Sus scrofa: one gene and its partners. The protein of the gene in region 1 interacts with the protein of each later gene in a pairwise test. Links are inferred from orthologs where the notes say so. Each region holds a gene or a part of one and is shown in the gene's direction. Other genes may lie near its edges. The genes, in order: CREB3, SYNPR, FIS1, PTDSS1, P4HA2, NDUFB6 and SFXN3.

The links.
Region 2: the proteins of CREB3 (region 1) and SYNPR interact in a two-hybrid assay, tested with the Homo sapiens proteins (2 studies listed by BioGRID and IntAct). The link is inferred for Sus scrofa from reciprocal best matches to the Homo sapiens genes CREB3 and SYNPR.
Region 3: the proteins of CREB3 (region 1) and FIS1 interact in a two-hybrid assay, tested with the Homo sapiens proteins (2 studies listed by BioGRID and IntAct). The two-hybrid records come from large-scale screens. The link is inferred for Sus scrofa from reciprocal best matches to the Homo sapiens genes CREB3 and FIS1.
Region 4: the proteins of CREB3 (region 1) and PTDSS1 interact in a two-hybrid assay, tested with the Homo sapiens proteins (2 studies listed by BioGRID and IntAct). The two-hybrid records come from large-scale screens. The link is inferred for Sus scrofa from reciprocal best matches to the Homo sapiens genes CREB3 and PTDSS1.
Region 5: the proteins of CREB3 (region 1) and P4HA2 interact in a two-hybrid assay, tested with the Homo sapiens proteins (2 studies listed by BioGRID and IntAct). The two-hybrid records come from large-scale screens. The link is inferred for Sus scrofa from reciprocal best matches to the Homo sapiens genes CREB3 and P4HA2.
Region 6: the proteins of CREB3 (region 1) and NDUFB6 interact in a two-hybrid assay, tested with the Homo sapiens proteins (2 studies listed by BioGRID and IntAct). The two-hybrid records come from large-scale screens. The link is inferred for Sus scrofa from reciprocal best matches to the Homo sapiens genes CREB3 and NDUFB6.
Region 7: the proteins of CREB3 (region 1) and SFXN3 interact in a two-hybrid assay, tested with the Homo sapiens proteins (2 studies listed by BioGRID and IntAct). The two-hybrid records come from large-scale screens. The link is inferred for Sus scrofa from reciprocal best matches to the Homo sapiens genes CREB3 and SFXN3.

Annotation. Positions count from the first base shown.
Region 1 is NC_010443.5:236,453,562-236,457,019, forward strand, and holds the end of CREB3 (cyclic AMP-responsive element-binding protein 3), read left to right. Parts: intron 1-809; coding exon 810-916; intron 917-1,029; coding exon 1,030-1,098; intron 1,099-1,873; coding exon 1,874-1,958; intron 1,959-2,062; coding exon 2,063-2,147; intron 2,148-2,224; coding exon 2,225-2,541; 3' UTR 2,542-2,812; downstream 2,813-3,458. UniProt on the Homo sapiens protein: Endoplasmic reticulum (ER)-bound sequence-specific transcription factor that directly binds DNA and activates transcription. Plays a role in the unfolded protein response (UPR), promoting cell survival versus ER stress-induced apoptotic cell death.
Region 2 is NC_010455.5:44,839,692-44,844,072, forward strand, and holds the start of SYNPR (synaptoporin), read left to right. Parts: upstream 1-1,540; 5' UTR 1,541-1,734; coding exon 1,735-1,752; intron 1,753-1,867; coding exon 1,868-1,933; intron 1,934-4,381. UniProt on the Homo sapiens protein: Intrinsic membrane protein of small synaptic vesicles. Probable vesicular channel protein.
Region 3 is NC_010445.4:8,939,286-8,943,658, reverse strand, and holds the start of FIS1 (mitochondrial fission 1 protein), read left to right. Parts: upstream 1-1,556; 5' UTR 1,557-1,872; coding exon 1,873-1,917; intron 1,918-2,768; coding exon 2,769-2,901; intron 2,902-4,229; coding exon 4,230-4,306; intron 4,307-4,373. UniProt on the Homo sapiens protein: Involved in the fragmentation of the mitochondrial network and its perinuclear clustering. Plays a minor role in the recruitment and association of the fission mediator dynamin-related protein 1 (DNM1L) to the mitochondrial surface and mitochondrial fission.
Region 4 is NC_010446.5:40,323,950-40,327,606, reverse strand, and holds part of PTDSS1 (phosphatidylserine synthase 1), read left to right. Parts: intron 1-384; coding exon 385-497; intron 498-3,657. UniProt on the Homo sapiens protein: Catalyzes a base-exchange reaction in which the polar head group of phosphatidylethanolamine (PE) or phosphatidylcholine (PC) is replaced by L-serine. Catalyzes mainly the conversion of phosphatidylcholine.
Region 5 is NC_010444.4:134,530,688-134,535,126, reverse strand, and holds the start of P4HA2 (prolyl 4-hydroxylase subunit alpha-2), read left to right. Parts: upstream 1-1,583; 5' UTR 1,584-1,691; intron 1,692-4,439. UniProt on the Homo sapiens protein: Catalyzes the post-translational formation of 4-hydroxyproline in -Xaa-Pro-Gly- sequences in collagens and other proteins.
Region 6 is NC_010452.4:33,847,802-33,852,175, forward strand, and holds the start of NDUFB6 (NADH dehydrogenase [ubiquinone] 1 beta subcomplex subunit 6), read left to right. Parts: upstream 1-1,541; 5' UTR 1,542-1,654; coding exon 1,655-1,834; intron 1,835-3,738; coding exon 3,739-3,831; intron 3,832-4,374.
Region 7 is NC_010456.5:112,110,094-112,114,336, forward strand, and holds the start of SFXN3 (sideroflexin-3), read left to right. Parts: upstream 1-1,389; 5' UTR 1,390-1,524; intron 1,525-2,768; 5' UTR 2,769-2,771; coding exon 2,772-2,932; intron 2,933-3,554; coding exon 3,555-3,725; intron 3,726-4,066; coding exon 4,067-4,165; intron 4,166-4,243. UniProt on the Homo sapiens protein: Mitochondrial serine transporter that mediates transport of serine into mitochondria, an important step of the one-carbon metabolism pathway.

The DNA of each region.
Region 1 (3,458 bases):
GAATAGGCTTGCAAGCTATATCAGCAGATACTCATTATCTAGTTGTGTTGCCTCTAGAAGAGCAGTAACCACTTGCTCTCCTTTATATCAGCCAGAACGTCACATCTCAGTGTCCAGGCTTGAGCCCAGATCTTTTGACAGATATTACGAGTATACATTCCATCCTGAGAAGAGAGCAGATGATGAGTTAAAACTTTTGCCCAGATTTTTTTTTCACTTGGAAGAAATGTCAAGTGTTTTAAAATAGCTAAAGAGGAGTTCACATCACAGCACAGTGGAAAGGAATCCGACTAGGAACCATGAGGTTGCGGGTTCAATCCCTGCCCTCGCTCAGTGGGTTAAGTAAGGATCTGGTGTTGCCGTGAACTGTGGTCTAGTTCGCAGATGCGGCTCAGATCTGGTGTCGCTGTGGCTGTGGCATAGGCCGGCAGCTGTAGCTCTGATTCGATCCCTAGCCTGGGAGTCTCCATATGCTGAGGATACAGCCCTAAAAAGCAGTAAATACATAAATAAAGTAAAATAGCACCCAGAGATTGGGTGCTAGGTAAATCCGATAGGTAGAAAGAACAGGGGCAGATGTTGGCTCATGACAAGGAAGTGTTTTTTGTTTTGTGTTTTTTAGTTAATAATTAAAATGGTTCTGGCTTGTGAGGGCGTTAACACCTGTTCTCGGGGGCATTCATACAGAAGCAGAGTGCTCAGGAAGGCTGTAGAAGGAATTCGCCCATTGGGAAGCTTGAACTCCGTTGCCTTCAGGCTCTTTGGTCGCACCTTCTTCTGATGTTACCCTTTTCCCCAATGTCCCTCAGATGGAGGAACAAGTTCTGAGACGAGTGCGAAGGAAGATTCGAAACAAAAAGTCTGCTCAAGAGAGCCGCAGGAAGAAGAAGGTGTATGTGGGGAGTTTAGAGAGCAGGTATAAAAGGGAGAGGGACTTCGGGGGGACAGGGAGAACAGAAGTAATTGGGAGCGTCAGGTTTCTGAAGGATGGGTACAGGCCATATCCCCACAGCCCTGTTATTTCTCCAGGGTCCTGAAATACTCGGCCCAGAATCTGGAGCTACAGAACAAAGTACAGCTCCTGGAGGAGCAGAATCTGTAAGCAGCTCTTCGACCTCAGTGCTTTCTCATTCTTCCCGTTTAATACTTTCTTATTTCCCCTGCTCCACACTTGATTTCTAACTGGGCAGCTCCTACATGCAAGGCCTGGTGTTGGCCTTTCATGGGTATCTGATTCCAAGAAGTTCACAGCAATGGGGAATAAATTCCCAAGTTAACTACAGATAAGTATCAAGAAAGAAAGAGGGAGCAAAAAAGACCTCACGTGGCAGAAGGCATTTGACAGTAGATGGGGATTCTGGAGTGGCGGCAGGGAGCATTTTAGGCAAAGAGAACACCACATAGTCTAGTGTGGCTGGAACCCTAACCCAGGTGAGTTGGGCCATAAGGTAGAGAACATAGAGGGAGTTCCCTGGTGGCCTCCTGGGGTAAGGCCTTCTCACTGCTGTGGCTCTGGTTTGATCCCTGGCCTGGGAACTCCCGCAGCATGTGGGTGTGGCAAAATAAATATAAAAAAAGAACATAGAATCCCTGAAGAGGATTGAGTGTGGAGCTGATCAGGCAGTTGTACAAGCACTAAAGGTGTTTGCAGAAGGAGTTTAAGTCAGGGGCAGGGCAGAGTCCTGTGTGTTTGTTTTAATGAGGAACTTCAGGCATTTTTGTCTAGAGAGGAGGTGATCACTTGCAAAAATAGGTCAGAAAGTAAGAGAGAGGATCCAGTGCACAGAGGGAGGGGTGGCCTTAACAGGAGGATTTTGTTACATGTCAGGGTGCCAGGCCGGGGGCTGCTCACTGTCCCCCGTTCTTCTGCTAGGTCCCTTTTGGATCAGTTGAGGAGGCTGCAGTCCATGGTGATTCAGACGGCAAACAAAGCCAGCAGCAGCAGCACCTGCATCTTGGTGAGGATGGCGATGGAAGGAGAGATTCTTTTCTCAGGTGGCAGGGACAGGGGTGCAATCCAGAGCTCGTCCTCATCTCTTTTTTTTTCCTGTTTGTGCTCCAGGTCCTGCTCTTCTCCTTCTGTCTCCTCTTCGTACCTGCCATGTACTCCTCGGACACAAGGGGGAGCCCGCCAGCCGAGCATGGAGGTGAGAGGCTTGAGACCACTCAGGAAGGGCCAGGGGGGGAAGCCAGGGTGGCCCCTGAACAGTCTGTGTCTCCTCAGTGTTGTCCCGCCAGCTTCGTGCCCTCCCCAGCGAGGACGTTCCCCAGCGGGACCTGCCTGCACTGCAGTCAGAGGTACCACAGGACAGCTCAACCCACGAGCTCCAGGCTCCTGGCAACTCTTGCTGCCTGTTCCACCACATGGCTTGGGCTCCTGGGGCAGAATCGCCCATGAAGCTGCCACTGCCCGACCGCTTCTCAAGGTCTTCTAGCCCAGGTCCCATCTTCCCCCTGCATGCAAATCTCACAAGAGAGGGAGGATGGCTCCCTACCCACAGCCCCATATCTGTTACCTTGCAGGGCAGGTACTCAGGCTAGATGTGAGAATGCAGGGGGCCTCAGCCAGAGCCTGGTGCCCCCAGTCTGTGTTCAAAGGAAAAGGAATGGGAGAGGGTGAGCCTCAGGTCCTGTCCCCTGTCAGGAAGCCTGAGGGCACAAACACACCACACTTACTGGCTTTCTGGGGTTTTATTTGCACCCATGTATGTCTGTTGTTCCATTAAGGGGCCTGGGAGAGTCCACTGACTTCCTTGAACATTTCATGCAATGAGGGGATGGGGTGAAGAAAGAAATAAATAAGTGATTCTGATGCTTGGGTCACCCTCAACCCCTCTTTACTGGCGTGGTTGGTGGGGAGAAGGGAGCGCATGATTGTCCTGGTGGCTCAGGGTTGCAGGAGTCTGGATGGGGTCGGGGTGGTGGAGGAGGAAAGGCCTGGCTGGAGGCTGGGCTGTTAGTGCCTCCTTCCCCCTCTGGGCTCAGGTTTGCATGGCTTCCTTTGGTCCAGGTTTTAGGCCGGAGCTTTGTCCTGTGTCCTGTTTGGCTGTTGGCCCAGAGGCCTTTTTATGCTGCTGCTGCTGCAGGGCTAGCTGCATGGCCCAGATGCTCAGTGGTCGCATGTAGGCGAGTGAGCGGAACACCCGCTGCTGGCAGTATGCCTCAGGGGTCTGGAAGGCCAGGCCCAGGCGCTCCCACACAGTACGGTAGCAGCCTTCTGCTGTACGGAAGCCCTCCCAGGTCAGGCCCTGTAGAGAGAAATGGCCATCATATTCCTCGGCAACCCCTGAAGAGCCACTTCAGCTGGACAGATGGAGACAGTAGGTCTCTGCCCTCAGGGAATTCCCAGCTACGGAGGGAAATAAAACTGACTCACAGGCAGAAGCCTGAAGGCGGGAGGTGGGATGTGTGCCAGGGAAAAGGGGGAGGCTTTCTGGATGGATGAGGTGGCACTGGAT
Region 2 (4,381 bases), on another chromosome or scaffold:
CAGACTCCAAACTATTCATTTCTACCTTTCTCCTCAACTCCTGAATATTAGTCATCAACCCCCTCCAATTCCAAACCTTTTTGGCAGATCTTTGTGGTAAACAGATGGGCTATCTGTGTTGCTGGGAGACCACTTCGTAATGGAATTCTGTCCAAAGGGACTAAAAAGAAAGGGGACCTATCAGCTCTATGAGGAGCATTGAAGACTCCTCCTCCCCTTCCTTTCCTTTTTTTTTTTTTTTTTTTTGTCTTTTTTTAGGGCTGCACCTAAGGCATATGGAGGTTCCCAGGCTAGGGGTCGAATTGGAGCTACAGCTGCCAGCCTACACCGAAGCCACAGGAATGGGGATCCAAGCCACATCTACCACCCACACCACAGCTCACGGTGCTCAGGGTGATGTCGGATCCTTAACCCACTGAGCAAGGCCAGGGATTGAACCCACATCCTCAAGGATACTAGTTGGGATGGTTACCACTGAGCCATAATAAAAACTCCCTGTCCTGACTATTTTGAATTCAACTCTGGCTTCATTCTCTGCACCTCCCTTCCATGGCCCTCTACTCCCTCATCTCTAAAATGAGAATCTTAGTACTACAGACCCATCTGGGATTTGTGAACATTTAATGAAGTAATGTTATAAAGCCTTTAACACAATTTGTGATTCATGGAAAGAAAACTGTTTTGTCGTTATATATTATTTCTGGTAAGGTTAGCAGACTAAGGGAGGAAAAGAGTATGAGTTGGGGGAGTGGCGCTCAGTCCTATTTATGATGGATTTGAGGAGGGGGGCTTCATTTGAGGACTCTATCTTAGGCAAAGGATCTTGGTAGAAACAGCATGAGTTTTACAGGAACTTGCATTCCAAACCTTGTTTAGCCTCATGAGCTAGCTGTGTTACCTAGGCTAACTTTGCCTCACTAAGTCTAGTTTCTACTTTTAAGAATGGCATAAAAATACGCCCCTGACCTCATACAGTAGCCATGCGGATTACCTGTCTGGCACACTGTCTCCTATTTTCACAATTCATTCCTCTCCCCTCACCTCTAGCCCCTTTCCCTCCGACCTGGCCCTCTGCTTACTGCTGAGGGAATGGGCAGTGTTTATCCTGTTCCCTGATGTGTCCCAGTACACCTGGAGAACGTTCCAAGAAGGCTCAGGGAATGACCAAGTCATCAGTCTTTCTTTGGTGGTCAGAAGTCACCAGAACGCACACACCTCCTTACGAGGGGTATGGGCTGCCTCTCTCTTACCTGAAACCCCCGTATGCAGGCAAGGAAGCATCTTGCTGAAGGTGCCAGCCAGCTTACCTCAAACCTACAGGCCCCAAATTACCCTGGAGCCTGAGGGCACCGAGCGCGCTGGACGACTCGGCCCCAAGGTCGCGCTTCCGCCTCGCCCACCTCCTGGCCCTCCCCTCCGGACCTCGCAGCTGGCCAATTGAAGCCTCGCCTGGGCAGTTGCGCGGGCCTCCCTCCCACCCCCACCCCCACCCCCACCCCGCCCGCCTACCGCTCCCCCGCCCCTCCCACCCTTGCTGCTGTGCTCGCTGCACCCGCGCGCAGGCTTTTGGAGCCCATCGTTCGGGAGCCCGCACCTGGCACCCAGCTCTCCCCCGCCTCGCTCCTCCGGCTTTTCCCGAAAGAAGGCTTCTAGTCCTAGGGACAAGGACAGCGGTGGCCCTCGAACTTCATTTTCCCAGGCACCGCTGGGCGAGAAGCCCGAGCAAGACGAGCTATGGACCCCGTGAGTCAGGTAGGACCGACTGGGAGGCGCGGGTAATGCTGCGGGACCCCGGGGCTCCGGATGACGTTCCTCCAGCCCCTTCTTCACGCTGTGTCTTCCTCTCTCTTGCCTCCTTGGTCCACAGCTGGCCTCAGCAGGCACCTTCCGGGCGCTGAAGGAACCCCTTGCCTTCCTGCGAGCCCTGGAATTGGTGAGTAGTGATGTGTGTGCGGGGAGGCGAAAGAGAGAGCGAACCAGCAGGTGAGGAGAGGTCGGGTGGGGTGCTCCCTGCTCGGTTCCTCTCCAAGCGTGGGATTCAAGCCGCTTCCTTCAAGCCTCCCCACTGCCCAGGTTCCAGTCCGGGGTTGAGGGACAGGACGAAGGGACCTGGCTTGGAGGCGGGAGCTTGGTTTTGCACGGGCTTAGACGAGGTGTCTTCTCACTTCGGCGGCTTGCAGACGCTCAGGGGCTGTGGAAAGGAGCCTCCTGGGGAGACGAGGACGGGAGCAGATGGAGGAGCTGTCCTGGGCTTTGGCTGCTCACCTGGCTTTCCGCGGGGGTGAGGACCTGGGGGTGAGCAGAGTAGCGGGGAGGACTTGGCCAAAAGTCAGAAAGTTGGTCCGCACTCGGGGCAGCCCTCCGCCCCTCCTGCGACGCTGGAAGCGCTTCGCCGCTGCAGCTCCGGCAAGAGAAGCTGCGAGGCTGTGAAAGATGCTGTTATAGAGAACGGGAGTCCTTCCTCCCATCTTAGTTTCTTCACTCTGGCCACTCCTCGAGGGCTTTTCTGATTTCTCCACGAAGAACCTCCTAGCCTTCTCTGTGGAGCTTTCTTCAGCGACTGGGCTTTAGGAAGTTGTAGTACTCTTCTGTTTTGTTCCCTTAAAATACAACTTGATAGTCCCAACGCAACTTATCTTTTGGCAGAAGAGTGAAGCGCAGAAACAGTTACCCAGGGGGTCACACAGAAATGTTAGTGTTGCTGGCTTGGATGATGGTTATTCGGAGTGAAATCTGTGGGTCACACATTCTCTCTTGCTAGGAGCTCTGAAAGGCAAGTGAATCTATCTGAACAGAAAGTTCAGAGCCCGTCATATAGCATTAATCACAGGTCCTATCACTGACTAGCTGGGAAATTATGTAAGAGCCTGTTCTGTCCTCCCAGATCTCAGCTCCAAGGGCCAGGATCCTGCTTTGGCAGCAAAACCGTGGTACATGCTTACTTGGATGGTCTACAGGGTAGTCATATTTGGCTTGTTTGTAAACTGCATAAAAATGCATGAATCTATCAGCTGGGCATACATTAGGGCAACGTTTGGAGGGCTGGGACTAGTGGTTCTGGTATGGCTATTCTAAAACTGTTTTTGTCACAGCAAAGTTAAAGCAAGCAGGACTCAAAGTCCAGGCAGCTTTAAGTTGACTTTCTCAGAGTTCTTTCTGCATTCATTCATTTAGCTGTTCAATAAACATTCTTTGTGGAAGAGTGATTTTTTTGTTGTTGTTTTTGTTTTTTTCTTAAAGTAATAGCTCCATTGTCAAGCCATTGCCTCTCAAAACCAAGTTCAAAGACCTGACATCATTTCTGATATAATCTCTTATTGTTTCACATTGTCATTGTCGCTGTCCTACTGTCATTGTCACTTACCTGAAATATTAGTTGGTATTCCCTTCAGTCCTGTTGCAGTGTTTTTTCATGTCACTCCCCATACACAGCCTCTATGATCGTATTTTGAAGTGTGGTAAACCTGGATGAATTTTTTTAAAATGCAGATTTTGGAAATCAAATTAAAATATTGTGAAGGTGGGTGCCTGGGAATCTGCATTTTAAACAAGCTCCCAGGATAAGTTGTATACACATTAAATTTGGATAACCAGCACCCTAAGCTTCATAAAGTCCCTCCAAAACAGCAAAGCACTTCTTACCTTAATGCTCTTGTTATTCCTGTTTATACTATATGGAGCACCCTCACAGCTCAAACTGAGAACAAATGTTTGCTTTTTAACCTCAGCTTAAATATTACCTCCTCACTGAAAATTGTGCTCATATTTGCTCCTTCCCCTTTCCTCTACCCCAAACTGACTGATTCACCCCATTCTTTGGGCTTCTGTTACAGTTACATCTTAACCATTCACTCATGAGAATGTATCACACTGCCTTATAGTTGTTTTTTTCTTGATGTGTATGTGTGTAAATGAGAGAGAACTTATTACATTAAAACTTTTTTTTTAAATCAAAGTATAGTTGATTTCCTTTCTTTCTTCTGAGGCTCTGAGGAAGAAAGGTTTTGCTTGTAAATCAGTTGTTAGGCCATTGTTTGTGGGAAAGAACCTGAAAAAAGGGACCAGAATAACCTTAAAAGATAAGTTAGTTGATCACTGCCTTTGGAAAGAGCTGAGGTCGAGAGATGAAAGCAGGGAGATAGGTGGTTTGAGAAAGTTTATCAAAGTGGAGAAAGGGAAAGAAAATACCTTTTCTGTGCATCCAATAGGTGAAGAGTTCCTCTCAGGTATTTGTTTTCTGTGAGAGATAGTGACAGTGAGAGAGTTTTAGCTCTTCAGTGGCAGGAAATGTGTTATGTTTGTAGTCCCCACAAGTGTCTTTCATGGTTCTTGGTAAACAGTAAGTGATCAGCAAAAAGTGTAAATTGAGCACAACAAAGCA
Region 3 (4,373 bases), on another chromosome or scaffold:
CTCTGTGATCCAAGGTAGATGGTGACATTATGACCCAAGAAACACAAACTCAGACTTAGCATCTCTTCACTGGCACAGAATCAAGCCATGTGGGCGTTCTTTTTCCCCCCATGAATATACATTCAACAAACCCCACTGGAGCTCTTACCATGTTTCAGGCCTGTGCAAAGAGCTACAACAGATACAAAAATGGATAAGGTGCAGCAGGTCACCCAAGGGGAGTAACGTCCTGATAGAAATAATGCCCTTTTGGGAGTTACTGTCGTGGCTCAGTGGTTAATGAATCCGACTGAGAACCATGAGGTTAGGGGTTCGATCCCTGGCCTCGCTCAGTGGGTTAAGGATCCAGCATTGCCATGAGCTGTGGTGTAGGTCGCAGATGCGGCTCGGATCCCATGTTGCTGTGGCTCTGGCGTAGGCCAGCGGCTACAGCTCCGATTGGACCCCTAGCCTGGGAACCTCCATATGCCTCAGGTACGGCCCTAGAAAAGGCAAAAAGACATAATGCCCTTCTGCTTTCTTATATTCCCTGCCTTGCCAGTACTTGCCGTTTCCTGTTGTCACCCATCTACCTCATATTAGGTATGTCTTTTTATTCTCTCTGCCTACCCCAAGGCCCAGCCAAAATTAGGTGTTCAATACGTCTTTCAATGAATGCAAATTTTTCTCCTTGACTGTTCTGGAGCCAGTTCCCTAAACTAAGGTTTCTCTCAAAGTTTACTGAGCTCATGTCAAAGTCATTTCAACTGTCCAAGCCAAACAGAGAAGAATAATTTGCCTACATAACTCACAAGGCTATTATGAGGGGGAAATAAATTCAAGGGGCTTTGCGAACAGGAAAGGTGTTTGGATGATAATCCCCTGCATGTGCACTGCCTTCATTACTGTTGTTGGCTTTATTTCCTGTTTATTCAACAAAGATTTACTTGTTACCTTGTGCTAGGAGCCGGAGACGGCAGAGACAAACAAGATAGTCTCTGTCCATGGAACTTATATTCACATGTCTACTAGAGCACTGAGGGTCAAGGTAAAAAGAATTTGAAAATCACTACCTACCCAGTCCCCTCACTGCACAGAACACAGATGCCAGAGCAGCCAGCAGCATTTCCCCTTTTCATGCTTTGTTGCTTCTCACTGTCAAGGTCCTTATTGCCCATAACCCCACTTGGCCGGCCTTTCCTCCTTGGGTACACCCAGAGGATGCTCTATCAAATAATATTTAAAAGATTGGACCCTCTGTGCAAGCAACGACAACAGCTTTTCTTTAAATTCTCATTCATAGTATCCCCCCCCAACCCCCACCACAGTTTCTGGGTGTACGCTTAACAGATCCATTTTCTTTCCTCTTGCATTGTAAGAGGCAGCAGGGGCCCTGGAAACTCTGGTACTAGTTATAATTTTCTTACAGGTACTGAAAGGTCACGTATTCGCTAGCGTCCTAGGTACCTCAGAGGAGAGAGCTGAGGGGCGGAGGGTAGATTAGACTGGTCCCTAAAATTATGTGATCCATGCCTAGTTCCCCACCTTCTCTTTACGCTGTTATCAGTCCAGGGGTCAATTACCAAGACGTAGTCTCAGACTTTATTGAGGCAACCTCAGTATTCTGAGGCGCACGCAGAGTACCCTCGAAGACAGTCTTGAGGACGCAGCCGGCTCCCGCGAGACCTGTTGGAGCATGCGCATCAGTAACCCCACCCACCAGCCGGCTGAAAGGCGGGCTCGGAGTCGGCCACGTAAAGCGATTGGTTCTGCTCAGGGGGGGGGGGTCTGACTTCCGCCGGACGCCGGAAATGGCTCTCCGCCCCTGTCAGTGGGCCATGGAGACTGTGGCACAGTAGCGTCTGAGTAGTGAGGATTGCGAGGCCGACGGCCATGGAGGCCGTGCTGAACGAGTTGGTGTCTGTGGAGGATCTGCTGGTGAGGCCCGGCCCCGAGGGAGGGAACAGGAAGATTCGGAAGGGCGGGCCCTCAGGAGAGTGGGGTAGGGGCCAAACCCTCCTCCCAGCATCAGCTTTGCCCTGGGAAGCCGAACTACGGTTCCCGGCAGCCCCTGCAGCGTCCGGCTGCTGCCTAGAGGTTCCAGTTTGCCCCAGAGGCTAATGTGAGATGTAGTTTCCTGTGCTACCACGCCTCAGATTCAGGGCCTGGAGCCTGATGGGGGCTGGGTCCGTGCAGGATCTAGGAGGTCAGGGAGCACCTGTTTTTTGAGTGCTCTCGTGGCATGGTAACAGGGCGACCACCATAAAGTTTCATAAATTGCTCACTGAACCCGGCACGGTGCCTGGCAGGGGATATCTCAATCTTTGTAGCTCTAGTAGGAGGTAGGCACTATTTTTGTTCCTGTTTTGCAGATAAGAAGGGGTCCAAACCCGGCAGGGTGGGGATGGGAGAAGCAGTCTCCGACTAGAGAGTGCGTGGGCTGTTGTTGAGCAGTTCTGACAGCTTGTTTACTGTTCAGCCTCACGGGGTCAGCTGCTCCGGGAGCGGTGCCTGGAACTGCCACCAGGTGGCATCTCCACTCGGTGCCACTAGGGGGAGGGGAGCAGAGGGGGGACCATCCAAGGAGACAGACAGCCCACTGCTAAGAAGCAGAATGCCTGGGCCGAGGGATGGAGATGGCAGAACCAGGGATACTAGACCCCACAACCGACAAGGAAAATGTGGCAGAGGGAAAGATGGAGGGTAATGAGGAAAGGGACACGAAGGTCCTGATAGAGAGTGGCTTACCCCCTTCATTTCTAAATGACTCCTCTCCTCTCCTGTGGCAGAAATTTGAAAGGAAATTTCAGTCTGAGAAGGCAGCAGGCTCGGTGTCCAAGAGCACGCAGTTTGAATATGCCTGGTGTCTGGTGCGAAGCAAGTACAACGATGACATCCGTAAAGGCCTTGCTCTGCTGGAGGGTGAGGTGCTAAGCTGGCTCCCCAGCCCTCCCTTGCCATCACCCTCTACCACCACTGGCCTCTTTCACTCCCTCCATCTCAAGGACTGGGATCCTTTTAGAACATGGGACCTCAAAGTACCAGTCACCTCACAGTTATTTTCCAGTAAACTCACAGCAAAAAAGGGTTATGCTTAGCCTGACTTCTTGTAATATATACTTTTGGCTACTTACCACCTCATCATTGATTTTGCCAAATAGTCATGGCCTGTCAGTCCCCACAGGACTTTGGTGATCTGGTAGTCTAGACACAAGGAAAATGACTTGTCCCAGGTCACACAGCTGCCTAATTAATGGCTGAATTGGGACTAGAAGCACCTGTCTTGTGTGTCCTAGTCCCATGCTCTTTGCCCCCCACCATGTTGCTTATTTAGCAGTGGTTGTTGAAAATCTTCTGAGGGGGCCCATGGAAGAAGTATAGAAAATGATCCCAAAAGCCTGTGAGCAGATGGTGCTCTTTTGATCAGAATGCTGTTTCTCATGGTTTTGGATGGGTCAGCATTTGGTGAGAGCCTACCATACTTGACCCTTAAATCTCTCTGTACCCCCCTTTCTCTTGGTCAGGTGATGGTGTGTAAGCAAACAGTGTACTAGCCAAGGATGCCTATTGTAAATCCATAAAAGTAAGAGTCTTCCTTAATGCAAATAATTTCAGCCTCCATTTGTCTACTTTGCCAATTGGGATTTCTTGGGTTTCCTCTGCAGCAGAAAGGGTCTCTAAACATTGCCAGTCTAGTTGAGGAAATAGTGCAGACACTTGGGAAGATGTATAAACACCTGCAAAACTACTTAGCAAGAAATTCAAGTGTATAGAGTACAACTGAACACATACGCCTCAGGGAAGTCACTGAACTAAGAGAGTCAGCTGGGGCCTTTCTGAGGGGTACTTGAAAGGGAGTTTTGAACTGATTTTTTAGAGGGGGAAGGAGTGCAAACTTATTTTGAACACGTCTAGCAGCAAGCAACTGTAGTTAACATACACAGCAGGTGCCACAACTGAGTGAACCCTGGCTTCAGTGGAGCCTTGATTTCCTTTCAGTTGACTTTGAATGAACCAGTCAACTCCTGTGTTGATAGTGGGATGTTGATCACCAGGGCATTGGGCAGTCTGGGTTCATGCTGTCACGAGGCTCTGACTGGGAAGCCTCGAGACTGGAGCTGAGATGGAGGCTCAGGACATGACTTTCCCCCAGGATCATATAGGGATTCAGGGAGTGGAAGGGGTCTCTGGGACACAGGCACTAGGAAAGGAAGAGAAGGGGTTTTCACCCTCTCCCCCACCCCCTACAGAGCTGCTACCCAAAGGGAGCAAAGAGGAGCAGCGGGATTATGTCTTCTACCTGGCCGTGGGGAACTACCGGCTCAAGGTAAGGCAGACAGCTCCCTTCTCCCCTCCCTCTCACCTGGGTGACCAAGCACCCTCTCCTCGTCTCT
Region 4 (3,657 bases), on another chromosome or scaffold:
TTTTTTTTTTTTTTGTCTTTTCTAGGGCCACACCCGCAGCATATGTAGGTTCTCAGGCTAGGGGTCCAGTCAGAGCGGTAGCCACTGGCCTCCACCACAGCCACAGCAATGCAGAATCCTAGCCGCATCCGGGACCTACACCACAGCTCACGGCAACGCCGGATCCTTAACCCACTGAGCGGGGCCAGGGATCAAACCCACATCCTCATGGATACCAGTCGGGTTCCCGACTAGTCGCTGAGCCTCGGTGGGAACTCCCCAGTACTTTTTCTGAAAATGCTTTGAATGTACCAGTTATTTCCAGCTATAGACTGCCCACTGGTGGACTAGGTGATCATGACTTAGCAAGAAGCATCAAGCTGACTCACGCCTCTTCTTTTGCAGCTGACTGAGTTGAATACCTTCTTCCTGAAACACATCTTTGTGTTCCAAGCCAGCCATCCGTTAAGTTGGTGTAGAATTCTCTTTATCGGTGGCATCACGGCTCCCACAGTGAGGTAATTCTGTGTTAGTCTGACCATCATTTGAGTGCGTTCACCTGCTTTGTATTCTCCTGTGTACATAAGGGAAGCCACATGAGGAGCAGATTTTTCCATGAAAATATCGTTCTAAAGAATTACGAGTCCAGGAGTTCCCATCGTGGCTCAGCAACTAGTCGGGAACCCGACTAGTCAGGTAACGAACCTGACTAGTATCCACGAGGATGCGGGTTCGATCCCAGGCCTCGCTCAGTGGGTTAAGGATCCATTGTTGCCATGATCTGTGGTGCAGGTCGCAGACGCAGCTCGGATCTCCGTTGCTGTGGCTGTGGTGTGGGCTGGCAGCTGCAGCTCCAATTAGACCCCTAGCCTGGGAACCTCCATATGCTGCGGGTGTAGCCCTAAAAAGAGAAAAAAAAAACAAAAAAAGAATTATGAGTCCAGGCTCTCAAGAAAATGTTTTGCTTCGCAGACCTCTGTAACATGAAGACCTCACACCATTATGATCTTCACTGCTGTTCTTTGTTTTTTAGGGAGGGAAGGTCGTTAGTTTCTTAGGGTTTTTTGGCTTGCATGTGTGGCATGTGGACATTCCCAGGCCAAGGGTCAAACCCCTCCCACAGAAGTGACCTGAGCTACTGCAGTGACAACAGTAGATCCTTGGAGTTCCCATTGTGGCTCAACGGTAACGAACTCAACTAGTATCCATGAGGACACGGGTTCGACCCCTGGCCTCACTTAGTGGGTTAAGGATCCCGCATTGCTGTGACCTGCAGTGTAAGTCCCAGATGCAGCTGGGATCTGGCATTGCCATGGCTGTGGTGTAGACCGGCAGCTGCAGCTTCAATTTGACCCCTAGCCTGGGAAATTCTGCATGCTGCAGGTGCAACCCTAAAAAGCCAAAACAAAAACAAAAACAAAAACAAAAAAAACACAAAAAAAACCCCACCAGATCCTTAACCAAAAGAGAACTCCCATTCTTTTTTTTTTTTAAATCTCGTAACATCCTATTTAAAATAAAATGAGTAACAGAGATCTGAGGTTTCTTTAATGAGATTATTGAAAAATACAAATGTTTTTAATGGTGGATTGAAGTCATGCATGATGTTATTTTTAGAATGAGACTTAGCTCTTTCAGAGGCAATTCAGTTCATTTCCTTTTAAAAGTGTCCTTCCTGTAGTCCTCCAGGGACAGTGGGGACATGCCTGGGTATTCATGCCACCCCTCCCCTGGCTGCATGACTCACGCAGGCCGAGGGATGAGGCGCTATTCAGAGGTGTCCCTCGTATGGACCAGTCCCTGTGAACTTCAAAGCAAAACACTTTGTTTTGTTTAATTGTTCCTATTTCAAAATGGCATTTGGGTTTTTTAACTAGTATGCAGTATTGGACTTGATTGGTACAAACGCCCTGGGTCTCTGCTCAGCTGATACAGACACAAACTCAGCAACTGAGTTCGCTCTTCAGAAGCTGTAGAAAAACTAAATTCTTTTTTTTCTTTTTTTTTTTTTTGCTTTTTAGGGCCATACCTGGCATATAGAAGTTCCCAGGCTGGGGGTCCAATCTGCGCTGCAGCTGCTGCCAGTCTACACCACAGCCACAGCAACATGGGCTCTGACCTGTGTCTGCGACCTACACTGCAGCTCATGGCAATGCTGGATCCTTAACCCACTGAGCGAGGCCAGGGATCGAACCTTCGTCTTCATGGTTCCTAGTTGGATTCATTTCCACTGAGCCATGACAGGAACTCTGACAGGTATTTTATTATATGTGTAAAAACAGCAAAGTAACAGTTGGTAAACTGCATCCTTTTGGCACTTTATAGACCAGTGGACTGTTGAAGTGGTCATCTCACAAATGCTGTTTTCCTTTGGTGGCTTGGAGCCTCTCTGCCAAATTTAAAATCTGATTTAATTTGAGGCTTACACTCATTTTCAGGAAAGATTAGCAGCCATCTCTTCATGAAATTAGGAGCAATCAACAAGTCATTAAGCAGGGAAAGAAATCACTTATTAAACGGAACAGCAGATCACATGTGATTTATCATAAAATTTCAAAACTGTTAGACATTTCATTACAAAAACTAGAGACTAAACCAGAGACTGAAAAATCCAGTGTTTGGACTTTCTGAGAGCTCCTCCAAATTTTTGCCAAACCCTATGGGTTTTCACACTATTTGTTTTTGTTGAAAAATTAGCCACTTTCTGTGTTCTTCCCCTTCTTAAGGCTCTTTATGTGTAAGGAGATCCTTTGACAACCTTCTTGGAAAGGTGGAAGTGCTCTAATGGGTTTTAACACAGCCATCCAAATAGCAAATGCCAGGCCCTAAATAAGGAGAGAAGGCTCAGTAGGCTTCAGTATAAATCGTTGCATACGCACCAAGAGTTCCTGCTGTGGCGCATTGGAAACTAGTCCAACAGGTATCCATGAGGATGCCAGTTAGATCCCTGGCCTTGGCCAGTGGGTTAAGGATCCGGCATTGCGGTGAGCTGTGGTGTAGGCTGGCAGTGTAGCTCCTATTTGACCCCTCGCCTGGGAATTTCTATATGCCACAATTACAGCCCTAAAAGGGGAGGGGGAATCATACATACGCACCATGTCTCTGTTTTCTTTCTTTTTGGTTGGACTTTTTGGCTCTGCTTTGAGAAGATCTTTGAATGAATTTTTTTTTTTGTCTTTTCTAGGGCTGTTCCCGTGGCATATGGAGGTTCCCAGGCTAGGGATCTAATTGGAGCTGTACCTGCTGGCCTACACCAGAGCCACAGCAACTCGGGATCTGAGCCGCATCTGCGACCTACTCCACAGCTCATGGCAACACCAGATCCATAACCCACTGAGCAAGGCCAGGGATCGAACCCGCAACCTCATGGTTCCTAGTCAGATTCGTTAACCGCTGAGCCACTATGGGAGCGCCAAAATACTTCTTTATAATGTTTTAAATATATTGGATATATATATAAATGAATTTCATCTGTTCCTTTTTTTTTTTTTTTTTTTTTTTTGTCTTTTTTAGGACCACACCTGTGGCATATGGAAGTTCCCAGGCTAGGGGTCAAATCCGAGCTGTAGCTGCTGGTTTATGCCACAGCCACAGCAGTGCCAGATCCGAGCTGCGTCTGCAACCTACACCACAGCTCATGGCAACTCTGGATCCTTAACCCACTGAGTGAGGCCAGGA
Region 5 (4,439 bases), on another chromosome or scaffold:
TGGGCACCTCCCACTCTGGGCTTGCTCCCTGATGAGATTCTCAGACCGTGTTTCCCCTCATTCATGACCAGGAAGGTTCACAGAGCAGGCGTGGGAATCTGCTTGGCGGGCCTCAGCCTCTAGCTCAGGCTGAGGTTTGCAGCATCCCTGCCTTCATTCCTTCCCAGACGGAACTGCCTGAGTGAGCTATCTACTGTTTTGGGGCCCGTAGTGTACAGAAGGGCTTGGGCAAAACAAAGATTGGCGCCCATGTGCTCCCCATCCCCAACCCCCCAATCTTTTAAGGGCTCCCTTCTCACCGACCCGTTCCCTCAGACATACCTGCCTGACCCAGGAGCTTGAGGGGAGTCTGAGTCTCTTTGAGGGCTTGGCCCTGGGGAAGGATCCCAGGTCCTTAGGTTCTTCAAGGCCCTCTCCACTCTCCCCTTCCCTGATGATCTAGCTCCTGGGCCGGGGGACGTAACCCGCTGGTGGTAAAGATGGGGAGGGGGCGGGAGGGGCCCGTGTGGGTAGCGCAGGACCCGGGAGGAAATGGGCATGGGCTGGGGCCAGGGGAGTCCGCAGGCATCTGGCGGCGCCGGGATCGGGTCGTGGGCCCCTCTCCAGGCGCCCAGGGGCGGGGGAGGCGGACGGGCGGAGTCCCAAAGGAGGAGCTGCAAGGGGAGGCGGGCGCCTCGTACGTGCGGCGAGCGGCGGGCGGCATGAAGGGCGCGGGCGGCCGGTCCCGCCTGGCCCAAGGCTCGCTCCTGGCTCCCGCGCAGTCGGGCGGCCTGAGCCTTCCCGGGGGTCGCTGGCGGTGGCGACTCCCGGCCGAGGCTGTGGAGGCGCGGAGCCGGGGGCCGGGCGGGCGGGGGGCAGGAGGTGGGGACGTGGCAGCGGCTCAAGCGGGCGGAGCCCGGCCGCGGCGGGAGGCGGGGCGGCGGCGGGAGGCGGCGCCGAGCGGGCTGGGTGCCGCCGCGGGAGGTTCTGGAAACGCCGAGAGCGGCGCGTGTCCCGGTGAGCGTCCAGCCCGCCCGGCCGCCAGGTCCGCCGCCGAGCTCGGGCGCAGGCAGAGGTCGACGGGCCGAACCTTCTGCCCCCACGGGCTTGGAGTTGGGGGTCGCGCCCCTCGCCGTGCTGCCCGGGCCGCAACCCCGCGCCCTCCGCCCTGTTTCTACCCCCGTGTGGGTTCCTGTCCCGCCGCTGCGTCCCCTTCCCGAGCTCGGGGTAGTGAGGTCAGCAGCGCCCTTCCTGCCGGTCCCTGGGTCGCCCGGGCCGGGCCGGGCGGGGCGGGGAGCTTGGCCGCCCTGCTGGTCAGGCTCCCGGGAAGGGAAGGGGCGGCCTGGCCCGAGGGCTGCCCGAGGTTGGAGGCGGAGGCAGGGGCGCCGGGCAGGCCTTGGGCGACCGCTTAGGGTTAGTGAGGTCCGCATGTCTCCCTTCAGAAGCCTGGGAGTCTGTGGCCCTGGCCTCCGGAGTCCAGCTTGGTGCCCATTAACACAGGCTATTGGATGAGAAAGTTTTTTTTTTTTTCTTTCCCCTCCAGACATCCTTTTAGAACCTGCGTGGTTTTGCCTCAGCAGCCGCGGCGACTTGTAACTAGTTAACTAATTCAACAAACGGACCCCTGTGTGTGTCAGAAACTGCAAGGAGTTGCTAGCCCAGTGGGGCAGGCGGACTGGAAGACCAGGGAAGTCCAGGCCCAGGGCAGTGTGGTGAGTGCTGTGCCGGGAGGGAGCACTGGACTGTGAGTACTTGGTAGAGCACAGGTTGCTTCAGGCTAGTGGGCTTCCTGGAGGAGGTGACCCATGAGCTAAAGTGGTCAAATGAAGGCTGAAGAGAGGGTAACCCAGACGGAGAAACAGCTTGTGTGAGTGGAGGAAGACCTGGGCACTCCAGGGGAAGCAGGCTGATGGGGAAGGGATGTTTTAGGGCGTAACTCCCATGGACCCTGTCCAGAGAGCTTCAAGTGAGAGGTCAGTGCCTTGTATTGTGCCCTGTATGTAGAGGGTGCTCGGTGAATCCTTGCTGCATCGGCGTAGATCAGGGCATTTCCCACTGCAAGACAGAGGCTCCTGGTCTCTCTTCTCTAATCTGACTCCTTTCAGATGGTGCAGAACAACATCAGCGCCCCTCCCCAGGCTGAGAAATGGTGTCTTGTACTGCAGAGTGACACCTCAGGCTTGTGCTGCTTGATGTAAACCATCTGAGGCTCAACAACCTTAACCTTTTTGTGGGATATCCTGCCCCTGAGAGCAAGGGCTTGTCATTTAGGGCATTCAGATAAGTGTCCTTGATTTCACAGAGATCCACTGTCCACCTAAGAATTTATAGAGTGGTTTTATAAGCTATGTCTTCTTCTCAGCTCATAGCACACTTGAGTTCTCTGTTAGATGAACCAAGATTGCCTTTGGCTTGTGCTTAAGCTCCCCCTGAAGTGTCCAGGGAGCAGTTTCTCACTTTGGTTCTGGTTCTCAAGGGCCAGCCTTTCTTTTCACTTCTAACATGTTTGGGCTCTGAACGCTTTTCTTTTGGGGCCTCATTTGCTGACAGCCAACCCGTCCACTGTGGGGCCCAGCCAAGGAGCCACGTAGCAAGAATGGAGTGAGTTGGCTGGGGGCCTCATCCCAGAGATGCCATCACACGGGGCCACCCTAGTTCTCTGAGAGCTCAGCAGGCAGACGTGGTGGCTACTAAGCATTGTCTGTGGCTTGGGATAGACCCTTCTCCCCTGTCCAGTCTGTCTTGTGATAGACTCTGAAATGGCCTGCCTGGGAGAGTGCCTACTTTGACCCTGGTTTAACCTGGCCACAGCCAATTTCCGTTCATTCCTTGAATAGGCTTCTGCTTAAGAGTCTAGGCTAGGCGTCTCCTTAGAGGCTGCCTGGGGCTGGAATGAGGGAGGAGGGAGAGGAGGCAGTAGCGATAGTACTCTCCATGCCTGTAGGTAGCTCATAATCTCTCTGAGATTGCTGCTTCGTGCTTGCGGCTGGTCACATGCCAGGGAGGCACTCAGAGCATGGATGCTTCTCAGGAAAGACTGTGTGGGTGCTGCCCTGAGGAATGAGTCGGGTGAGGGAGTCTGGGGTCTGCTTATTTCCTGTGAGAACCTCCCTTTTTGATTCTGCCCTGCCACATCCTTGCAGTGGGGTGTGGGGTGGGTGTGGGGTGGGGGTGGGGTGGGAGGGTGGTTCTGAGGCTGGACACAAGACCTTGGCCAGTGAGTGGCCACGCTGGCTGATAGTGTGCATTGGGCTGGTGGGTGTGTCCCTGGCTTCTGGGATCTGTCAAGGGTTTAATTCTATGCAGATGGAAATTGGCAGGAAATGCTGTGATGCAAGCACAGGCAAGCCCGACAGGGTGCTGGAGCGAGAATTAAACTTTGAGTAAGTTGTTCAAAGCTAGCAATTTGGACTTTTGAAGTGCACCAGGGTGGGACATCAGCCTGTCCTTGAGCACAGAGGTCCTGTGGCTCCTGAGGTCTCTGGGATTTGAGCTCAGGATGTGGAATGATGGATGGAGTTTTTATTCGTAGAAAGAATGGAGGGGAGTGAGGAGGAGTCTGAATTAGACTTCTTGGAGGCCTAGAAGAGTGTTTGTTTAAATGGTTTCATTACACGGTAGAGAGTCAATGTCTGGGTAATGAGTTCTCCAGCTCAAATAGGATGTGAGCCTGATCACAGATCAGCATCTGCTCTAGACCTTCCAGGAAATGCTTGCTAGAGTGTAGCCTGCTCTGTGCCTTGCATTCCTGAGGGCCCAGGGTGTGGTCATCATCCTGTGGCCTGGTACTCATAGAAACGCGGAGTGGGCAGGTCGTAGAAATACATGAGATTCTAGAGTATTGAGCCAGTCACCTGGTTTTGCCGGAGAACTTTCCTTGGTGCGCGTTAGAGCCAGTGTTATTCCCTGGTGGTCGATGTGCTGCATTATGCCTGACTCCGCTCTCTCCTAAATTAATCTTGCCTCTCTTTTAGCACTGCTAGGACATAGAGATTGCCCAATTTCTGCCTTGTTTTCATCTTCATGGTCCTCTAGACTAGACTTTCTTCCTCTCCAGGGATCATCTGGCCAGCTGGCTGCTTCTGATCTCTTGCTGTTCCTCCCGTACTCTTGGTGCTGTTGACTGGTATAAATTGTGCCTGGTGCTGGGCTGTCCGCTGACATCGGTCGTCCCATTCAGTCCTCTAAACAGCCCCATCAGATGTAGGTCCTAATATTATATGATGGGAAAACTGAGGCTCAAAGAGACCCTGTCACTTTTCTGAGGTTCCAAAGCCGGAAAGTGATTGTGGAGCTGAGTCTAACTCTGGGGATGTCTAGGGCTGGATGCCTCCCTACTGGACTATAATGCCTTGCCCTGAGCTGGGCCACTTGGTCATTGTTGAGTGCTGTGATGCCTGGAGCAGTGGTGACTGCTCGCTTGAACTCTAGGCACCATATTCCTGCCCTGTGGGTCCATG
Region 6 (4,374 bases), on another chromosome or scaffold:
TTAGGACTACAGAGTTTTAACTTAAACTCATACAATTTATCTTTGTATCTCCTTTCTCTCATAACACAAATCCCGGCCTAAACGTTTATTTTCAGTTGCAGGTTAACAATACCATCACCACCATCACTATCAAGGATATGGTTACTTAAAACAGTTTGACTTCTTTCTTTCTCTTTTCTTTCTTTTTCTTTCTCTTTCTTTCCTTTCTTTCTTTCTTGCAGTTCTTTTTGTCTTTGAAGTATACCTCTCTATGGATGTACAATAATGTGATGATTTAAAGTTACCTGAAGTGGGAGTCCCCATTGTGGCTCAGTTGTAACGAAACTGGTTAGTATCCATCAGGAGGCAGGTTCGTTCCATCCCTGGCCCTGCTCAGTGGGTTAAGGATCTGGCGTTTGCAGTGAGTGGTGGCGTAGGTCGAAGACTCAGCTCAGATTTGGTGTTGCTGTGGCTGTGGTGTAGGTTGGTGGCTGCAGCTCTGATTCAACCCCTAAGACTGAGAACTTCCATATATCTCAGGTACAGTCCTAAAACGCAAAAATAAAGTTACCTGAAGTGGTGTGTGTTTTTGAAATTATGCCGCCAAGCAGTCAGATCCATCTATTTTTACTTTTGATTTTTAGAGGGTGCTTTTTAAAAACCAATTTGGAGACGTTTAGCTTCTATCCTTCTTGTTTCTAGCCTACCCCCTTCCTCTTCCTATAGGTAACATTAAAAAAAAAAGTAATTTTCCTTTCCATTATTTTAAAAACTTGAACAAACATATGTATATATATACATTTAGTATCACTACCACCCTCCCCTTTTTGGATAAAAGGTAGCATACTATACATACTTCTCTCCGTTTAGCTTTTTTCTCTTAACAACTTATGTACTCAGTAGCTCTCTCCAGTTTTATACAAAGCATTTCATTTAGTTATTGTACCACAACTTATTCAGCCAGCCCTTTACTGAGAAATTGAGCGGTAATTTACAGGATTTTATTATAAAGAGTGCTGCAGTTTGTGCACATTCTTTTCATATTTTTACCGCTGTATCTTTAGACTAGAGGTCTAGAAGTGGGATTGCTGGTACGAAGGGTGAACGTGTCTAATTCTGCTGGATAGTAAGCGACTTTCTACTTCTGCAGTACTGATGAAGGAACAGACGAGACAGCTGCTCAAGGACTCTTTACCAGAACATGGATGTAAAGGGTCCCCCACATACTCTAGGTTACGGGAAGAGGACGAATTCCAAGGTGGGAGAGGCAAATGAATTTTGCATGTAGAAGTCACTCATTGAGTCACATATTCACATACTTCCAGCTCCCAATACACCAGTTCTTCCTGGTCAGAGCGTTTAGTACACTGACCTCTGATACTTCCTGTTTTTCATTACTTCCCTCCTCATCCGGTAGCTAACTGTCTGCCAGTAACCGCCTCTCTCTGGAAATCTGGGCGCGTAAAGCGGTGCGGGGGTCTGCAGGAGTTTGCGCATGCCTAGTCACTACGCGCAGATTGGAGCCGCTCGAGGGCAGGACCCCAGTGACGTCGTAACGGCGCGCCGCTCCCAGGTGTCCTCGCAAGGTCGCTTTGCAGAAGGGGAAGCGCGCGTATGTGACAGGACCCTCGTTCAGGGGCGCGCCGTGTCTTGCTTCCTTGGTACCGGCGGCGACATGTCGGGATATACGCCCGACGAGAAACTGCGACTGCAGCAGCTGCGAGAGCTGAGAAGGCGATGGCTGAAGGATCAGGAGCTGAGCCCCCGGGAACCGGTGCTGCCCCCGCGGCGGGTGTGGCCTATGGAGCAATTCTGGAATAAGTTTTTGCAGGATGGAGCCCCCTGGAAGAACGTGGTGAGTGATGGCCCTCTCCCACCCCCGCCCCGTCGCGGTCCCCAGCCTGGCTGCTGTGACGCCTGCTCTCTGTAGCAACATTAGGTAGGGACTGATTCTCCCTTTCCCCGAAAGTACTGGTAGTTTCCCAAGGGGGAATTAGGTTCTGCCGAGACTTGGGTGTAGTGGGAACGCTGTCTGGTTCCTAGAGTCTTGGCCTGGGGGTCAGGAGTCCGGAGCACGTTTGGCTTTGGGATTGTCATACCATTTAACTGTCAGGTGTGATGAGTAGGAGGTGAATCTTTGCCTGGGTTTTACAGGATGGTGCAGCCTTGCATCTCTTTTGACTGTGGGAATCTTCCCTCAGAATGGTAGCCAAGGATTCACTAGAGTTAAAATTCAGTGATTTCGGTATTTGAGGACATTTGTCTGATCTTTGAGGTTGAGATTATAGAAACTAACTGCCATTACACCGAACCTAGAAGACAGTGTGCTTCTAACTGGTAGTACAGCTCCATGTAATCATCTTATAAGAATGGGTCCTATTGGGTTCTTACTTTATGCCTGACATTTTTCAAGGGTTTTACATGTGTTACTTAATTTTATTTTGGACTCCTGTAAGGTAGAAATTGGTCCTAATCTTAATTTTAAGTGTGGAAACTGAGGCCTACAAAAATTCAGTGATGTAGCCATGGTCTCAGGGTGAGGAATTCGAGTTCACATTGAAATCCATGTGTATCTACTTTCTTACTGAGCTACGAAGTCTGGTGCACATTTTTCTGAGCAAGTGGTATTAGATACTTATTTACGGTGGTAAAATTAAACTCTAAGTCAACTCTCCTCTTTTCTCCCTTTGGATTTCTGACATTTTACTAACTGATTTGGCAACCACTGGTTGAAAGTTGACATACCACCCATCAAGCAAGCGATTTAAGGAAGTAAATAATAATTTGTTGAAATCTGACTTACTTCATGTTAACCTTTTCCATAATCATATCTATTATAACACTTAAAATTTAGATTGTCCTTTCCCTGAAAGGATAGGTCCTATTCTTTCAAATTGGCTGCCCTGGAAAAGTTCCAGTTTTAAATGACTTTTGCCTTTCCCTTTTTTTTTTTTTTTTTTTTTTTGGTCTTTTCGGGGCCGCACCTGCAGCATATGGAGTTTCCCAGGCTAGGGGTCAAATCGGAGCTGTATCCGCCAGCCTACGTATGCCACAGCCACAGCAGTGCCAGATCCTAGCCGCGTCAGCGACCTCCACCACAGCTTACGGCAACACAGGATCCTTAACCCACCCAGCAAGGCCAGGGATCGAACCTGCGTCCTCACAGATGCTAGTCAGATTTGTTAACCACTGAGCCAGGACAGGAACTCCTCTTTTTAAAAACAGTATGTCTGAAGGCAGCTCACTGAGCATGGAACACCCCATCCCAGTATGTAAGACATCCTTTTTCCAGCATTAGTGTACTCATAATTATCTGCCTTACATCTTAGATGGTACAAGTGATGTTGATTATGTATTTGAAATTGATAAATTAGGGAAATGAAAACTCTGTATGCTGATTATTCTGGTTAAATCTATTAAAATTATTTTTTCATTATTTATGCCATGTTTTGTCTTAAACTTATAATAGGGATATTTTTAGAAGTCTTTTAAAAAACGTATATCTATAAATACATTACTATATCTCTGCAAAATACTGCTTAAGCCTCCTTTGCTCTGAACTCTGGAGGTGTCACCTAGTAGGCACTGTGTTTAATAAAAATATTCGAATGCATGAAATTAGCTGCAGACTTTAAGGAAATATGTAACATTTAGGGATTTTACAATGAGCATGACGTTGTTATAGCATTGATGCTTTTTTTTTCCTGCCGCAAATGTGAAAAAATAAGGTATCTATTTCTTGTATGCTTTTTCCCCCAGATCTATAAGACATACCGACACAGCATCTTTGCTGTTACTCATGTGCTTATCCCTGTATGGATTATTCATTATTATCTTAAATATCATGTAACTGTAAGTATGCTTTAAGTGTATGTTTTTCAGAATTTGTTTTTAATATTGTGCAAAATTATTTTCTATGCGAGTATGCCTTACTCTGCTCTACTTAATGGAAATAATCTGCCATGTATAACTGATTTTGAAGTTGAATCCTTTTAGGTAAAAGGTTTAAGGAAACTTAAGTAATGTATGGTTTTTCAAAAATTTAATCTTTATATTAGTTGCTTACAACTTGAGTTGTGTTTCCTCATAGAAACAACATTATGTGATCAGAAATGTAGTTGACCTGATAATGTGAGTGTAAACTTGGAGTCCTGAGTTGGAAGGGAGAAAAGAATTTCTGTTCCTTTTTTTTTTGAACACAGATCTAAGATAAAATTCAAAATAGTTAAAAGTTGTCTTTGTCATCTTACTATTCCCTTTCCCTTTGCTCTGTGTTTTTTCACAACTTAACTTTCTTTAGAATCTAGCACATCTAGAGGCTTGAATTTTTTTCCCTGAAAGATCTTGCATGTGGTGATTGAACTGAGATGCCCTGTTGCCATATTTTTTTTTTTT
Region 7 (4,243 bases), on another chromosome or scaffold:
CCGGGACCCAGAACGCAGCACCCCACCCCCGGCTCGGTCCTCCCGGCCCCTCTCACCTGCTTGCTTGTGCGGCCGCAGCCGGCCTCGCCCGCCCGCGGGCGCGCGCAATACCGCAGCAGCCGCGGAATCCCCGCCCACGCCCCGCGGAGGCGGCAGGAATGGGGCAGGCTAGTGCAGCCCCGGGCTCCCATTGGCTGGGAGCGACGCCAGTCATTCCTCCCTCCGCCTCCCTTGGGTGCCCCTGAACGCAGTTCGCAACCTGGGCTGGGGTCGCTGGGTTCTACACACTCCAATTGAGTTCGGATGCCCCACTCTGTACCACGAACTTAGGGCTGGGGCCTTGGCTTGCTCTGCTCCCGCTACCTGTACAGCTCAGGGGAGCCCAGAACCCTGTCTTCTCCAGGCCAAGCCAGCTGCCAGGACTCGTGGAATTGTCACCCCTCTGCAGTGATCCCTGAGGCCTCAGTGAGGATGTCACCCAACAGCGGGGTGTGAGCCTGCGGTGGGCAGGAGCATGGGTGTGTGGCACGCATGCTCTGAATGATGATTGGGTGAGGGTGCGTGTGTGTGTGTGTGTGTGTGTGTGTGTGTGTGTGTGTCTGAGCGCTGCCTTCACATGCATCCTCCTTCTATATCAGAAAGTGTCTCTCTGGCCACCCAGTTCTGGAATGTATGCGGGGGGGGGGGAGGCAGCTGATAACAGGACACTAGGAGGAAGAATCTTTTTGATCCACTTCCTTGATAGGACAGAGGGATCTTGAGATTTCCGCCCCTTCACACCCAGAGCAGGGACTGGGGCCAGGGTCTGCGAAGCAGGGGTAGAAATTGCGGGCATAAAGAAACTGGGCACCCTAGCAGAGTTAGAGGTTACAGAAGGGAGTAAGGAGGGGACTAGGAAGGAGGAAAGGACTGGGGACATAGAAGGGGCACAGGCACGAGAAGAACCACACTGGTGCGAGTGCTGAGGTGCTGCGAGAGGAGCTTGTGGGAACCAGGAGAGGCGCCCAGGGGGGCAAGTAGGCAGAGGCCACTGCCAAGGCAGCCATCGAGTAAACAAGCCGGCGGTAACCCGAGTCCCTCCGAGCGCACCATCAGTGGATGCCCCTCCACGTCGCGCGCCTTCACCCTGGGCACCCAGATCCCTTGCTGAAGAAACCCGGTGCCTCCCGAGGCCAACCAAGGCACTGTGAGCAAATGGGGCAGCGCCCGCCGCTCTTCCCCTCCTCTCTCGGGCTGGGGACAGGGCCAGAACTGATCCTGGAGTCGGGATTGGCTCTGGGAGGCACCGTAGGGCCGGTCTCGGTGGACCGGGCTGGGGGCGTCGCCCCTAATGATACCCAACGCCCCCAGGCTCTGCCAATCCCTGGCCACGCCAGGCGAATGCGCCGAGGGAGCCCCAGCCTCTCAGGCTAGTGAGCGTCACACGTGACGTGTGCTTGATGGGTGTGAGGGCGGGGGCGACGGGCGCAGAGGAAGGCGGGCCTAAGAGCTGCAGAGGCCGGGAGCCGGGGAGCCCAGGAGAGCGTGAGTGCTCGCTGTGCCGGGCGGGGTCCGGGGGTCAGGAAAATAGCGGGTTGAGGGCTGGGAGTCAGAGAGGAAAGCTGCCTTGAAGTGCTCTCTCTTCAGCACACTTCCAGGCAGTGTGAGATTCAGTATCTTCGGCTCAAGGGAGGTCCATGGGGCCGGAGGGGAGGTTAGTTGGGGAAGGAATGTCGGGGTGGGGCTCTATGGATCACACAATAAAGTGTCTGCAACTGATAGATATGGGCTGTGTGTGTGTGTGTGCGTGCAAGTAACGGTCTTTGTATGCAGGGCGTGTCCACTCCATTTGTAAGTCTGGGTAGGGCATGTATGCTGCTGTCTTTGTGTGTGGGTATGTGAATATGAGTGTGCAAGGCAGCGGAGGGTGTGTCTGCCTGCGAGGGAGGAAGTGTGGTTGGAGAGGATTAGTCATTCTGTAGGATTTTGCCCAACACAGCCAGATGGCGGCTTCAGGCTTGCCTTTCTGGGCTGAATGGAGGGGTCACTTACTGAACCCTGCTTCTTTTGAGGCCAGTGGCTCAGGGAGAGGTGGGATGGGTGTCTATGTCAGCCCTGCCCAGGTGGGAAACAAGGAGATCCTTGGGCCCTTCTGTGTGGGATGAGGAAGGTGGCTCTGGAGGGGGGAACTTGTGCGTGCATGCCTGTGGGCATACCTAGCTGGCAGGCTTCAGAGTCACCTTTTAGAGATCTGGAATAGATAAGCCTTAGAGTTGCCAATGAGCCATTGCTCTCCTCCAGTCCGGGCTTGGGGTGTGGGATGGCTTATACCGTCTTCCAAACAGCCTTAGGGGTTTGTATGTAGGCTCAGGGCAGCCAGGGCCTAAAGCTGAATGAACATGGATGTGTGATGCATATAATCTGCATGTTTGTGCATACAGAGCACATGAATAGCTGTAGAGGATTTGTTGCTGCTGCTGCATCAACCACACACATGTAAATCCTCACTCATGGAAATCTGTGCCAGGCCAGAGCACAAGGACATCTGTTTTCCTGGCTCTGTTCTCCCCTGTCCCCTTCTCCTGTGTCTGCAGGTCCCTGAGCTAGGACACTGCCTAGAAAACAGCTCCCCTCCCCCACATCCTTGCTTACGTATCCAGAATCACCTTGAGCTCTAGAAGGGATTGGCAGTAAGCCCAGGGACCAGGGTAGGGCTACCAAAGTTGGCCCCATGTGGAGTCCTTGGGTCCTCTCCTTGGAGTCCTCTGACTCTGGTCCCTCCCCTGCAGAAAATGGGTGAGTTGCCCTTAGATATCAATATCCAGGAACCTCGCTGGGACCAAAGCACTTTCCTGGGTAGAGCCCGGCACTTCTTCACTGTGACCGACCCTCGAAATCTGCTGCTGTCTGGGGCACAGCTGGAAGCTTCCCGGAACATCGTGCAGAACTACAGGTGACTCCCAACCCCAACTGACCCAGGGTCTCCTTCCCTGCCATTAATAAAGTACCCTTTGCACCTGTCTCCCCTGTTCCACTCCTCCACCCCAACCCCTACTCCCTAGCCCTATCTGTTGGAATCACAGACAAGTAGGGCACAGAACGTTAACCCAAAAAATTTCAGGGTGTTTGGCTTGAGAAGGTAGTATTAATATTTATGGTCAGGGGGCTGCTCTATGCTTCATACTTTACAAGGACCTGTTCCACTGCTGGGCCACCCTATACAAGGATAGAGGGGCTCAAATTTGGGTCCCAAGGAGGTAGGAGGGCAGGAGGAAAAACTCTTGCAACACCCCAGCCATTTGTGACCCGTTGGAAACCACCATTACTCATGACCCAGCATTTGGGCAGAGTCAGAAGGGCACCCTTCTATGTGTGGCTAAGAAGGGAAATAGCAATAGGAGCCTTCCTTCCGCGACAATTTAATTCTTCCCCAGAAGTAAGGAGCTTCTTTATTACGAGGTTGAGGGCCAAAGTACCTGATCCTATGCCCAGACTTCTCCTGAGCTGCGTGGGCAGGGCTTGGGTGGGGGGATCTGCCCCTAGAATTGCTGTCTGCTCCTTGCCAACCCCTGCAGGGCCGGCGTGGTGACTCCAGGGCTCACCGAGGACCAGCTGTGGCGGGCCAAGTATGTGTACGACTCTGCCTTCCATCCGGACACAGGGGAGAAGGTGGTCCTGATTGGCCGCATGTCAGCCCAGGTGCCCATGAACATGACCATCACCGGCTGCATGCTCACCTTCTACAGGCAGGTTCTATCCTGTGTGTCTCCTCCCTGGGTGCTCTGTCCAAGCTAGAGCATAACTTGATGACTAGGCACTTCCGGTCTGGGCCAATTTGGGCAGAAAATAGTAGATGGGTGAGAGCTTGTGTTAGAATCCCTTCCCTTCCTCTGAACTCGGTCAGGGGTCCTCCCACCCCAGAGACCATGGGTGTGTTTGTGTAAGGACGACCATGCAGGGGTCACTGGAGCAGGTTCTAGGGTCATCAACAGGGCCTCCCCTGAGGGTTTGGGGCTAAGCTTTGGGGTTTTATGATTGGGGTCCAAGAAGGAGGGACACTGTCGAAGTAAGCCTTTTTGTTCCCCAGGAAGACCCCAACCGTGGTGTTCTGGCAGTGGGTGAATCAATCCTTCAATGCCATTGTTAACTACTCCAACCGCAGTGGAGACGCTCCCATCACCGTGGGGTGAGAGCTCATCCCCAGGGGCTCTTCTCCCCGCCCTCCGTTGCTCTCTCGTGTTCCCTGAGGGCCCATGTAGCCGGT